Linked DNA regions of Sus scrofa. The protein of the gene in region 1 binds, or shares a complex with, the protein of each later gene. Links are inferred from orthologs where the notes say so. Each region holds a gene or a part of one and is shown in the gene's direction. Other genes may lie near its edges.

Region 1 (3,985 bases):
AGTACTTTTTTCCTTTGCTTATTGGAAGCTCTAGTGTCCATGTTGATCCTCTGCTATGTTCTTCCCCAAAGCCAAATACTCCTCTTTACAGACTTGAGGTTTCATGGACATCCTCATCACCCTTAGGTGATTGCATATTCAGAACATCGTTACCGCATCTTTGGGGAAACCATCGATATTGCTGTGGGTAATTGTCTGGATCGTTTTGCTCGAGTCCTGAAGGTGAGCCATTGGAGTTACCGAGAACATAAGATGTGAATGAATTTCTGGGGAGCCAGGGAAGAGGAGGGAGAAAGTAGTAAACTAGCTTCTTACGATTCCTAGATATCTTACTTCCTCCTGTTTTTCCTTGTGCTAGATTTCCAATGACCCAAGTCCAGGCTACAACATTGAACAAATGGCAAAGCGGTAAGGGGAATAAGGTAGAAGGAGGCTGACTGGCGGGGTGTCAGGGATTTCCCTGTTATGTGTATTAACAAGGTTTGGGAGGGCTTTGGAGGGCAAGCAGCCAGCTGACTATAGGCTTAGTGCCTCATATACTCACTCCCACTTAGAGGCAAGAAGCTAGTTGAGCTGCCATACACTGTAAAGGGCATGGACGTCTCATTCTCGGGGATCTTGTCTTTCATTGAGGTGAGTGTGGGAGAGGTGAGGAGATGGTCACTGTGATGCTTTTTAACGAAACATATGTGTTTTGCTCACCATTGTATTTTCTGCATATAGCATAGTACTGACGCATGTTAGATCCTGAATAAATTCAGGTAGCAAATATTTATTGAACATATTCTGTGTGCCAGGCACTGTTTGAGGCAGTGGTGGTACAAGATAAAGCAAAAATCCCTGCTTACTTGGAGCTTGCATTCTTGTGGTGGGGAGATAAACAAAAACAAAAATGAATGAAAGAAAGGGGGAATATAATAGTATAAAAAGGGTCAAGTGGTGACAGGTGCTGTGGAGAGAAAATAACCAAGGTTGGTGGGGGAGTTGCCAGAGCAGACATTCATAATTATTGACTCTAGAAAGAATGTTGCTGGTTTTATAGCTCAGTGCCAGTGAAGGGCAAGGTGTCTTATGGGATGTACTAATAAGTTGAGTTGTGGTGGAACACAGTGATCCTCCAAGTGCACTGTTTTTTTTTGTTGTTGTTGTTGTTGTTGTTGTTTTTAGCATTTTAGGGCCACACCTGTGGCATATGGAAGTTCCCAGGCTAGGGGTCAAATCAGAGCTATAGCTCCTGGCCTGTGCCACAGCCACAGCAACTTGGGATCCAAGCTGTGTCTGCAACCTGCACCATAGCTTACAGCAACAGTGGATCCCCACCCCCCTGAGTGAGGCCAGGGATCGAAGCCAAATCCTCATGGATACTAGTTGGCTTCATTTCCACTGCACCATGATGTACACTAATATGCACTCCCCAAGTGCACTAATTTTTTGCTCCCATGTCATCCCCAAACCAATGTTCATTGTTTTATCTGTTTTCCCCTTTAACTATAGGATGTAGCCCAGCGGATGCTGGCCACAGGCGAGTGTACTCCTGAGGATCTATGCTTCTCCTTGCAGGTAATGGAGTAAAACACTGGGACAGAAAATTGGAGCTGGAGAAGCTCTTTTGTAGTAGACAGAACTAAGCCGAGATCACCTCTGATGTTTCCACCTTGTCTGCCCCCCCCCAGGAAACTGTGTTTGCAATGCTGGTAGAGATCACAGAGCGGGCCATGGCACATTGCGGTTCCCAGGAGGCCCTCATCGTAGGAGGAGTGGGTTGTATGTATCCTTGAACTGTGCTCTTTCCTATTGTGGGGCACGTACATCTTCTTCCTGATATTCTAAATCCTTAAAAGTTTAGAGAAATTACTAGTTCTGTCTCTTCTATGCTTCCCAGCCTTTCCTCCTAGAACCCCTACTTCATTTTCCTAAGTCAGTGCACATGAAGTGTATGGCTAAACTGGAGAAATGGCTGAAACTAGCTAACCCTACCCCTGCCTCTTTGTAGGTAATATTAGGTTACAGGAAATGATGGAAACAATGTGCCAGGAACGCGGAGCCCGGCTTTTTGCCACAGATGAGAGGTAAAGGCTCTTTCCCTTTCTTTCTTTTTTTTCTCCAGTTACTGTGATTTTCCACCCTTAGATCATGAATATCATACCTTTTTTTTCTGTCCCAGATTCTGCATTGACAATGGAGCCATGATAGCCCAGGCTGGCTGGGAGATGTTTCAGGCTGGACATAGGACCCCCCTCAGTGAATCTGGGGTCACACAGAGGTGAGTGGCCCCTTTCAGGAGGTAGACAGGATTGTATGAGAAGCAGGCCAGAGTCATTATTAGCAGGGAAGAGGATTCAGAATCATGAGGTCAGAGAAGAGTATAAGGTGCTAAGGGATAACTGTCCACCAAGTTTTTCCCATTTTTTCACAGGTATCGGACAGATGAAGTAGAAGTGACCTGGAGGGACTGACAAGGTGAACAGGATCAAGTAGATAGCGCCCTAAGTGGAGCCCCAGGGACCCTGGGCCTTAACCTCATCCTGACATAAGACCCTAGCAAGACTGTGGACGCCCCTCTCCCATCATTTGAACCTCAAGATGACTCTATAATAAAAATATTTTTGGTTTTATGTGTTAGTGATCGGCTTGTGTTAAGGAACATAGTTGGCACTGGATAAATTCTTGTTAATGGGGTGGTGAGTAAGGAGGCAGGGATTAGAGAAGCATCCTGGCTGACCGTGCAGGTAGCCTTGGGAGCTGCAGCTCTGGAACCCATGCACTTCCATCATCAGGTTTGAGGGGGTCCCAGGTACACATTCCTCCATGTCACAACCACCAGAACTAATCTCTTCATGCCTTTTCTCTTGTTTTTATGTCAGTCACCAAAGAAGTCGCAAACCACCAAGTCACCTTTCATCTTTTAAACACTAATAACCATTGCTTTCCATTCTCTTTTTTTGTCTCCACCTACCTCTGTCTTAACTCCTGAAATTCTGTTTTAATTTTTTTTTTTTTTTTTTTGGTCTTTTGTCCTTTTAGGGCCACACCCTTGGCATATGGAGATTCCCAGGCTAGGGTTCTAATTGGAGCTCTTGCTGTGGGCCTGTGCCAGAGCCATAGCAATGCCAGATCCAAGCCGTGCCTGCAGCCTACGCCATAGCTCCTGGCAACACCGGATCCTTTAACTCACTGAGCGAGGCCGGGGATGGAACCTGCAACCTCATGGTTCCTAGTTGGATTTGTTTCTACTGCGCCAAGATGGGAACTCCAGTAACTGTCATAAGTCTTGATGATTTGAATATCTAGGTAGATGACCTTTGTAACACTGGTCTCAGTTCCTTATTCCTTCAGTGATCTTGTCCTCCATCCCTATATCAACCCTCATTCCCTTGGTCATGTCTAGACTTGTAGCTTCTCCATATCTCAGTCATCCCACTCTCCTATAATTACTTCCTATTTTTCTAGTTTATTCTATGTGTCTTAATTTCCTTCCTCTAATTCCTGTCACAAGCACTTCACTGCAAACACTTCATCCCCTAGCCTATCTCACTTTTTGTCACAATCGGCTCTTCACCCACTTTATGCCCTGACCCATTAAGCTGAAAGGGCTGGGATAAAACAGCCAGTCCAGGCTGACTTGTCTTACTTTCAGTTCACTACCATGAAAAATAAGTGGGTCCTTATTTATTTATTTATTTGTCTTTTTGCCATTTCAAGGGCTGCTCCCATGGCATATGGACGTTCCCAGGCTAGGGATCTAATCCAAGCTGTAGCCACCAGCCTATGCCAGAGCCACAGTAACTCGGGATCCGAGCTGCGTCTGCGAACTACACCACAGCTCACAGCAATGCCAGATCCTTAACCCACTGAGCAAGGCCAGGGATCGAACCCGCAACCTCATGGTTCCTAGTTGGATTCGTTAACCACTGAGCCATGACAGGAACTCCCGTAAGTGGGTCCTTTATGCTACTAGCAATATTCCCTAGTCCTTTTACTTGCT
Region 2 (4,684 bases), about 36 Mb from region 1:
CTCTCCTCACCCTCCAACGTTCCACTCCACACGCCCCCCGCCAAGGAACCTTCCTCCTACCAATTCTCACCTCTTATTAGTTTTCTTCTACCCACCTTTCTCCATTTTTGTACCTAGAATATAGGATGAGTCACCCAACACTACATCACACCCCCTCAAAGCCTTGTTCACAACATCTTCCAAGTGCTCGCTCTCCTCCCCTACCCCCACCCCTTCGCCAGAGCCACCAGCTGTTCGGGTTCCGGTCTATCCTCCTGGGTAGCAGACTGCACAGAGACATGGTACTTGCTTCCTCTCGCCAAAAAACCAGATAGCACTTGTCAAACTAAATTGCAGAGGACCAGCTGTCCAAGTGCCCAGCCCACATGGGGAGATTTTCAGATCCAGAGATCTCTCCTTTATCTCTGCTTTGACTCCCACCTGGTTCCTAATAAATACTAAGGATGGGAAAATTAGGGACAAAGATGTCTGGATTTGAGAGGACACGAGGATGGTTTCGTGAAAAACACCCGGGGCACCGAGAAGAGACGGGAGAGGAAGGAAAGGCTGCTCCAGGGTCAAAGCCTAGAGATCCTGGGGGGTCGGAGGAAAACCGAGGGACGAAGGGGGCCCTGCCGGACACAAGCAGAGGAAGGGGGCTCACGAGACTAAGGGTAAAAGGGCGGCTGAGCCTGGGATGAGGAAGCCTATGACAAACAGTGACCCCGGACTACCACGGAGGTGCCGGCCTCGGCAGGCGGGAAGAGGGAAGGTAAGTCCGGGAAGAGAAGGTCCAGGGGAGCCGGGGGAGGTAAGGCCCGGCCGCGCGCCCACCTGCGAGTAGGAGCACTTCTCGGAGTCGCTGCCGCCTAGTACGGCGCACGCCTCATTCTCCAGCTCCTCGTCCTCCTCAAGTACATCGACCAACGATACCACGGGCTCCAGCTCCGACTGCCGCCCCGCGGTCCCCTCGGCTCCAGCCATCCTCAACTGTCACCCGGACCGCCGCTCAGCCCCGGCGGAGGCGGGAAAAGCGGGCGCGAGGGGCGGGGCCGTAGGAGGCGGGGCCTGGGTGCCTGGAACCAATCCCAAAGACGCCGAGAGAAGGAAGGGGGAGGAGCGACTTCCGACAAACGGAAGTCACTCCTCTTCCTTCTCCCGCCTGCGCCCGCGCTTGGCTGGTTTCCGCTTCCGGGTGGCGTATCCCTGTGGCGCGTTCTTGAAGCTCAGCGGTCGCCATGGAGCTGTTGGGCGAGTATGTCGGGCAGGACGGGCAGCGGCAGCGGCTACGAGTGCCCTGTGAGGCGCCAGGCAATGCCGACCATTTCCAGGGCTTGCTGTCGGGCGTGGCTCGGATGAAGGAGCTGGTGGCCGAGCTCTTCGGTTCCCCGGTACAGGGGGAAGCTCAGGACCGGGTGGCGGCGGCTCCAGAAGAGGCCTTGGACGGTGAGCTCTGGGATGGTGCTGGAGCGACTGGAGGGAGGGCAGGGGCGCCCCGGGAAAAATCTCAGGGAGCCCGTGTAAAACAGCAGACTGGAGAAAACTGGAGGAAGAAGGATTCCTACTAAAAATTGTTAGCACCTTCCGCCAACTCTAGGCCTAACCTGGGCTCACCTAGCAGGGCTGTTTTCACGACTCTTTTCATTTATATCACACACACACACACACACATACACGCACACACAAAACCAAAGAAAAGCGGGCCGAACCCCTGCTGCTCTGTGCCAATCATTGGACTGAGCTCTGAAGAAAGAATGAGGGTGAATGCGGCTTAGTTCCTGTCGTTGCGGAATTTTGATGAGTGATTAAACAAGTAAACGCTCTCATTAAAGAGTGGAAAGATGACCCTAGGATCCTCCTATAACTATTCGAACCTAGAGAACCCAGGAAGACCTAATAGTGGGCATGTCTGGCTTTTAAGCTGGGTGTTGAAGGATGAAAAGGAATTCTCCCAGCTGTGAAATTACGTTTGGAAGACTGCGGTCCATCGCAGAATAGGAGCGGGTTCCTAAGATTGGAAGAGATTTCAGATAAACAGGTGTTTACTCTCAGGGACTCCTTTCCTTTCCCGGTTTTGTAGGTGCAGTTTGAAAGTGGAAACGGGAAATTTAACTGGTTTAGTTTTTGGGGGGTTTTTTGTTTTAAGTCTTGTCTTGAATAGGTAGATACATTTTGACTGCCTTAAGCTTAAGAACCTAAGCATTAAATATTGGAATCAGGACTTAACTCCTCTGTACAGGCTCTTAAACTAATAATGTGAAGGAACCAATTCAGAATATTACACAAACTTCAGACAATGGATTGTTTCCGTGAGAGTGAAGTCCTGTTTCTTGACTCCAAAAGTTCCTCTTTAATCAGTTGCAAATTTTATCGTTGGAATAAGGACAGGTATAGGTAGAGCCATTGAAAAAAAAAAAGTGGGAGTTCTCATCATGGCTCAGTGGAAAGGAATCTGACTGATATTCATGAGGACGCAGGTTACATCCCTGGCCTCCTCAGTGGGTTAAGGATCCGGAGTTGCTCTGAGCTATGGTGTAGGTTGCAGACATGACTCAGATCTGGCATTGCTGTATTGCTGTGGTGTAGGCCAGTGGCTATAGTTCCAATTCAACACCTAGCCCAGGAACCTCCATATGCCTCAGGTGCGGCCCTAAAAAGACCAAAAAAAAAAAAAAAAAAAAAAAAAAAATGGAGTTTATCTTTATTTTGGATGAATTCTTTCTTTCTTTTTTTTTTTTTTACGGCCACATCTGCAGCATAGGGAGGTTCCCAGACTAGGGCTCAGAATGGAGCTACAGTTGCCAGCCTACGCTACAGCAACTCCGGATCGGAGCCATATCTGCAACCCACACCACAGCTCACAGCAACACTGGCTTCCCAACCCACTGAGTGAGGCCAGGGATCAAACCCACATTCTCATGGATATTAGTCGGATTCTTTTCTGCTGCACTGCACTGGGAACCCCCAGTGTATGAATAATATCTTAATTAGCAATGCAAAATTTTCAGAAATAACAATTATGAAAGAAAAGTGGTAGAATGCAACACTAAAAAGGCAAATAGTGATCATTTTGTAACGTCTAGAAATATCGGGGCACTGTGTGGTACACTTGGAACTAACAGTGTACTTCAATGGAAAAAAAAATCCTCATGTTGACGAAAAAAGACAGTCAGTTACCAAATGTGCAGAAGACTTGAATAGACAGTTCTCCAAATAAGATATACAAATGGCAAATAAGCACATGAAAAGACGCTCAACGTCATTGGCTTTCAAGGAAAGGCAAATCAAATCACAATGAGATTCCATGTCATGTCCACTAGGAAGGCTGTAATCAGAAAGAACACTAACAGATGTTAGCTAGGATATGAAGAAATTAGAGCCCTCATGTGTTGCTGGTGGAAATGCAAAATAGTGTACCTTCTTTGGAAAGCCGTTTGAAGTTAAAGTTATCATATGATCCAGCAATTCTAGGGATTCTTAATTCCATCCCTAGTTCTCCAAGAGAACTGGAAACATGTTCCCATAAAAAACAAATGCACAAATGTTCATAAGCAGCATTATTCATAATAACTAAAAAGTGGAAATAAGACAAATTACAGCAGATATTGTCAGAACATTGTAAATCAACTATACTTTGATGAAAAATTTTAAAAAACACACAAATGTCCATCTACTCGAGTGGAGAAACAATATGTATATCCATACAATGGAATATTATTTAGCAACAAAAAGGAGTGAAGTACTGATAAATGTTACACTTCATGAATGACCTTTGAAAACATGGTAAGTGAAAGCAGACAGACACAAAAAGGCATGTATTTTGCGATTCATTTACATTAAATGTTAAGAATAGGCAAATCTGGAGTTCCCGTCGTGGCGCAGTGGTTAACGAATCCGACTAGGAACCATGAGGTTGCGGGTTCGATCCCTGCCCTTGATCAGTGGGTTAACGATCCGGCGTTGCCGTGAGCTGTGGTGTAGGTTGCAGACGCGGCTCGGATCCCGCGTTGCTGTGGCTCTGGCGTAGGCCGGCGGCTACAGCTCCGATTCAACCCCTAGCCTGGGAACCTCCATATGCCGCGGGAGCGGCCCAAGAAATAGCAACAACAAAAACAACAACAACAAAAAAGACAAAAGACAAAAAAAAAAAAAAAAAAAAAAAAAAAAAAAAAAAAAAAAAAAAAAAAAAAAGAATAGGCAAATCTAAGAGATGGGAGATGATTACAGTAGGTTAGTGGCTGCCAAAGGCTAAGGGGAATGGGAAATGACTGCTAATTGGTGTAAGATTTCTTTGGGGTTGATGAAAAGTGTTCTAGAATTAGTGGTGAGGGTTGGACAGCCTAGTGAATATCGAAATCAGTAAACTACACTTTTTTTGGGGGGGGGGGGCCACCTGTGGCATATGAAAGTTCCCAGGCTGGGGATAGAATCTGAGCTGCAGCTACAACACACACGGCAGCTACGGCAATGCCAGATCTGTAGCCCACTGTACGCGCTTCTGCAGCGACACGAGCTGCTATATTCGGATCCTTAATTCACTGTACCACAGCAGGAACTCCCGCTGTGAATTTTAGGCGTTCCCGTTGTGGCTTAGTGGTAACAAACCCGACTAATATCCATGAGGATGGGGGTTCGATCTCCAGCCTCCCTCAGTGGGTTTAAGGATTTGGCGTTGCCTCAAGCTGTGGCGTAGGCCGCAGACATG
Region 3 (4,877 bases), on another chromosome or scaffold:
TGTGATCTACACCACAGCTCACGGCAATGCCGGATCCTTAACCTACTGAGCAAGGCCAAGGATCGAACCCGCAAGCTCATGGTTCCTAGTTGGATTCGTTAATCACTGTGCCTCCACGGGAACTCCGATAATAGTTTTTAAATTATAGTTGATTTACCGTGTTCTGTCTATTTCTGCCTCACAAAGTGAGCCAGTTATGCATACATACATTCTTTTTTTCACATTATTCTCCATCATGTTCCATCACAAGTGATCATATATAGTTTCATGGGCTACACAGCAAAATCCCATTGCTTATCCATTCCAAATGCAGTAGTTTGCATCTGCTAACCCCAAACTCCCAGTCCATCTCCCTCCCTCCCCCTCCGTCTTGGCAAGCACAAGTCTGTTCTCCGTGTCCCTGAGTTTGTTTCTTTTCTGTAGATAGGTTCATTTGTGCCCTATATTAGATTCCAGATATAAGTGATAGGGTATTTGTCTTTCTCTTTCTGACTTACTTCACTTAGCATGAGAGTCTCTAGTTCCATCCATGTTGCTGCAAGTGGCATTATTTTGTTCTTGTTTGTGAAAAGATGGTTTTGACTCCCAGGTGGCGGCTGCATGATAGGAGGGCAGGAACTGTGAGCTGAGCACTTCTAGGAGGCCAAACTGTGGATGTGAGTTGGTGGCCCACTGTGGTGGCAGTGGGTATGGAGAGAATTGTATCCGTCAAGATATTAAAAATTGACAAGGAGTTCTCCTGTGGTGCAGTGGGTTAAGGATCTGGCGTTGTCACTGCAGCGGTTTGGGTCCCTGCTGTGGCCCGGGTTTGATTACTGGCCCCTGGAACTTCCACGTGCTGTGGGCAGGGTGAAAAATAAAATTTAAATTGACAAGACTTTTGGATTAGATATGGGATTTGAGTGAGAGGTCAGTATCCAGCAGTGACTCGAAGTTTCTGGACTGAATGAATTATGTAAAAGAAAAGCAAACTATTCTGACGTTTGCTAGAGGTCCTTTTTCCCCTCATGTAAAAACAAAAACCACATTTTTTTTCTCTCTGGTTGTATGTACTCATTATATATTTTGAGTACTCATTGTAGAAAATTCAGCACATAGAAAAATATTTATAGGAGACCTTAGAAATTGCCTTCAATTCTACTGCCCAAGATGGCCATATTTTGGTGTACTTCGTGTTTTTGTTTTCTGGGTGCATCTTCTTTTATAATTGGGTGTACATTTTATCTTTCTGTATTTTTTTTTCCATTGGACCTTGATTATGACTGAACTGCTGTGTGCCAGGACGTTATTCACAAATGTTCTTTTTTTCTTTTGTTACAATAAGAAAAAAGTCAGATGAAATTCCAGCAGGTCAAAGGTAATTTTTCGTTGTATTTTTCTTTCAATTTTGTGTGTGTGTGTATGTGTACCTTTTTTAAAAAACCCACAATTTTATGTTTTGATTTCCACATCAAATGTTTTAGTGTTATTTATTGCTGTTTTTATACATCCTTAAGTACTCTTCAAGACTACAGTTTTTAGTGGTTGTTTAGTGAAAACAAATCCTGTTACTAGTTCTTTTCAGCTTTTACTGTTAGGATAATGATAAGGACCTCTTGTTACATAAACCTTCAGATTGCCAGTTTATTCTTTGAGAAAAATGCTGTAAATGGAACCTCCTAGGTAAAAGGATAAAATGAACCTATCAAATTGCCTCACCCAAATATCTCATTAGGACTGATTGAAATTGTTTTAAAGATCAAATTTTTGCAATGCTTTGTTTTTCTGTGCAAGGATATGTCTTTGTAGTTATTTGTCATGTTTCTCTTATGTCTTTGTATATACCCCGTCCTTTTCTTGTTCAATTTATGTCTATAAAGGGCCAGTATTATTAAAGCATTGTGCCCTCCCTGCTTAAATCCCCATGTGTGAAATGAGTTCTCTGAGTCATGTCATACTTTTCCTCTGTAAGATTATTTTCTTCTTTCGTATTTGTGTCTAGGTGCTGCTAAAACATAAATCAAATGGTGAGATAAGAAAACTAAAAAGGCTAAGAAGTTGGAGTGAGGTTTCATTAATGCTAAAAGTAACCTGTGATCTAAAACATTTTTGGTAATCTGCACCTAGTTGTCTATTGGGGAAACGGCATCTCATCCACGGATCAGAGCCGGACTTACTGCACAAGCAGGGGATCAGGTGGCAACCTTGATCCTTCGCCAGGAATGGTAAAGGAAGCTAGAAACAGCAGGTTTAGGAAGACAGTATACTGTGAGAATGCCAGATGTGTTTTCGGGATAGATTTTTCTATTTTAACACTTTTATATGTTCTTATTAAAGTTACTTTGTTAGGGAGTTCCCAGTGTGGCTTGGCGGTAACAAACGTGACTAGTATCCATGAGGACTCGGGTTGGATCCCTGGCCTTGCTCAGTGGGTTAAGTATCTGGTGTTGCCGTGAGCCGTGGTGCAGGTCACAGATACGGCTCAGATCTGGCCTGGCTGTGGTTGTGGCTGTGGCTGGGGTATATGCAAGCAGCTGCAGCTCTGATTTCAACCCCCAGCTGGGCAACTTCCATATGCCACAGGCACAGCCCTAAAAAGCAAAAAAATATCTCGTTAAGTAAAGATATTTTTTTGTTAGTGACCTACGGTGTTAACTTTTGGTCTTTTGGTCTTGTGCAACAGAATCCTGTCTTATCTATGAAATGCAGTTAACAGAGCAACTGGACCTGTTTCCTGAGTACAGGGTGACCCTTCTGTTATTTAAAGATGTGAAAAATGCTGGAGCCTTGAGAAAAAAGGCCATGGAAGGTGGCATTGACGGCTCATTAATCAACCCTACAGTGGTAAGTACTTGTGGGAAGGAGTGCACTCTGCAGGGAGTTTAAGAATATGAAATATTTCTTGCTGTTACAGGTCAGCCCAAACCTGTTATCTTCAGGTAAAAAGGCCTTGTCCAAGCTGTGGAGTGGAATCAGATTTGGCCGACCTTGAATTAGCAGTGACTAGAAGCCAGAGCACCCCGCCCTAGGAGCTGTCAAAGGCGGTCCAGCCCTGATGTGATCGCAGCTGTCTGGGATCGTCTTCTCCTCTGAAAGAGAAAGTCTGGGAAGGAGGCACTGCATAGTGGTTAAGGGAACACACTGTAGAATCACTGTGACTCAAATCCCAGATATGCCATTTATTATGGCTTTGAGCAAGTGGTAGCTGACCTTTATATAAAGGTGTATTTGGCTCCTGGCATTGTTGCAAGTTGTTTACACACACAGCTGACTCAGTCTTCACGACAACCCATCCGTGACGTCCTAGGATGGTCTGCACCTCTAGATGAAATGCTAAGGCATTTGCTCCGGTTCCCTCGTGGTAACTGAGGACAGCTGGGATTCAGACCTGTTCTTTGCCGTGGTCTCCTCATCCATTACATGTGAATATAACATGGATATCACTGACAGCTGTGGAAAACGAAGGCAAAATGTTGACCATATGGTTTTTCCCATAATAATACCCCTCGGTAAATGTCGTTTTAAAACTTTTTACTATTGGAATTCCTGTGGTGGCTCAGTGGGTTAAGGATCCGGTGTTGTCTCAAGCTGCAGCGTAAGTTGTAGATGCCGCTCATGCCCTGCATTGCGGTGGCTGGGGTGTAGGCCGGCAACTGCAGCTCAGATTCCACCACCAGCCTGGGAACCTCCATATGTCTCAGGTGTGGCCCTAAAATGAAAAAACAAAAAAACCCAGCTTTTTACTATTTATCTAAGTTGCTTACAGTTTTACTTTTTTTTTTTTTTCCTTCCTTTTGTCCTTTTAGGGCCGCACCCGCGGCATGTGGAGCTTCCCAGGCTAGGGGTCTAATCGGAGCTGTAGCCGCCAGCCTACGCCACAGCTCATGGCAACACCGGATCCTTAACCCACTGAGCAAGGCCAGGGATTGAACCCACAACCTCATGGTTCCTAGTCGGATTTGTTAACCACTGAGCCACGACGGGAACTCTTGCTTGCAGTTTTAAAATTCTTTTTTCTTTTTTTTTTTTTACTGAACACTCAGGCCTTGAGATTATGAAAAAATTTAAAAATGTAGTCCATAGGAACTGGGATGAAGTAAAACACTGACCCTGGAGATAGCACGCTATGGGGCACATGTCTTCAGCGTACTCCAGATTCTCTGTGTATAATATTTTTTGTTCTCTTTGGTAGATTGTCGATCCATTTCAGATACTTGTGGCAGCAAACAAAGCAGTTCACCTCTACAAACTGGGGAAAATGAAGACAAGAACTCTATCTACGGAAATTATTTTCAATCTTTCCCCAAATAATAATGTAATTAATATTTATTTACTTTATAATTGTTGACCTTGTCATGATAGCCTGTGTGTTACTTGGTGTTGGGTTGGAGCCTGTTAATACTAAACCAAAACAATAGTGAAGACAGCTCTGGACAGAGTTGGGGTTTAGCACTGCTCTCTTACTAGGCAAATAAGCTTTGGAGACGCTTCACATGTGTGTAAACAAAAATTTAGCTAAATTAAGAGGATAGTTTTAATTTGTCCTTCTTACCACGTAGAGTCAGGAAGATCACTAAATGATATCTGAATGATTAGCCATGGATGCCTGAGTGTTGTCATGCGTATCTTTCATTCTGCCTGTAAACTCTTTGAGGATAGCATCCATGTCTCTTCCATATACCAGAAGCCTGCCTGGTACCTAAAACAGCCCTTAACACATGCTCTCTCACACACCCACTGCATGTAACAGTTTGTGGTTTCAGATACTGCTAGTAATCAAAGTTATTGAGTTAAAAACATTCCACCTGGAGCCATTAAAAAAACAACACTGTAATTTTGCTGATGAAGAAGTTTTAGTGTTCCTACTACTGTTAAAACAAGCAAGTGCTGACATCAAG

Evidence for each region. The genes of interacting proteins can lie anywhere in the genome.
Region 2: OSGEP (region 1) and GON7 share a complex: the UniProt entries of both Homo sapiens proteins name them as parts of the EKC/KEOPS complex. The link is inferred for Sus scrofa from reciprocal best matches to the Homo sapiens genes OSGEP and GON7.
Region 3: OSGEP (region 1) and TPRKB share a complex: the UniProt entries of both Homo sapiens proteins name them as parts of the EKC/KEOPS complex. The link is inferred for Sus scrofa from reciprocal best matches to the Homo sapiens genes OSGEP and TPRKB.

The regions. Positions count from the first base shown.
Region 1 is NC_010449.5:78,459,646-78,463,630, forward strand, and holds the end of OSGEP (probable tRNA N6-adenosine threonylcarbamoyltransferase), read left to right. Parts: intron 1-126; coding exon 127-222; intron 223-358; coding exon 359-408; intron 409-554; coding exon 555-633; intron 634-1,494; coding exon 1,495-1,560; intron 1,561-1,673; coding exon 1,674-1,764; intron 1,765-1,993; coding exon 1,994-2,069; intron 2,070-2,164; coding exon 2,165-2,263; intron 2,264-2,416; coding exon 2,417-2,456; 3' UTR 2,457-2,615; downstream 2,616-3,985. UniProt on the Homo sapiens protein: Component of the EKC/KEOPS complex that is required for the formation of a threonylcarbamoyl group on adenosine at position 37 (t(6)A37) in tRNAs that read codons beginning with adenine.
Region 2 is NC_010449.5:114,587,285-114,591,968, reverse strand, and holds the start of GON7 (uncharacterized protein C14orf142 homolog), read left to right. Parts: upstream 1-1,164; 5' UTR 1,165-1,217; coding exon 1,218-1,425; intron 1,426-4,684. Other genes in the region: putative E3 ubiquitin-protein ligase UBR7, read right to left, coding at 814-963. UniProt on the Homo sapiens protein: Component of the EKC/KEOPS complex that is required for the formation of a threonylcarbamoyl group on adenosine at position 37 (t(6)A37) in tRNAs that read codons beginning with adenine.
Region 3 is NC_010445.4:69,236,987-69,241,863, forward strand, and holds the start of TPRKB (EKC/KEOPS complex subunit TPRKB), read left to right. Parts: upstream 1-1,357; intron 1,358-1,981; exon of another isoform or gene 1,982-2,006; intron 2,007-2,106; exon of another isoform or gene 2,107-2,204; intron 2,205-2,662; coding exon of another isoform or gene 2,663-2,682; coding exon 2,683-2,823; intron 2,824-4,171; coding exon 4,172-4,294; intron 4,295-4,877. UniProt on the Homo sapiens protein: Component of the EKC/KEOPS complex that is required for the formation of a threonylcarbamoyl group on adenosine at position 37 (t(6)A37) in tRNAs that read codons beginning with adenine.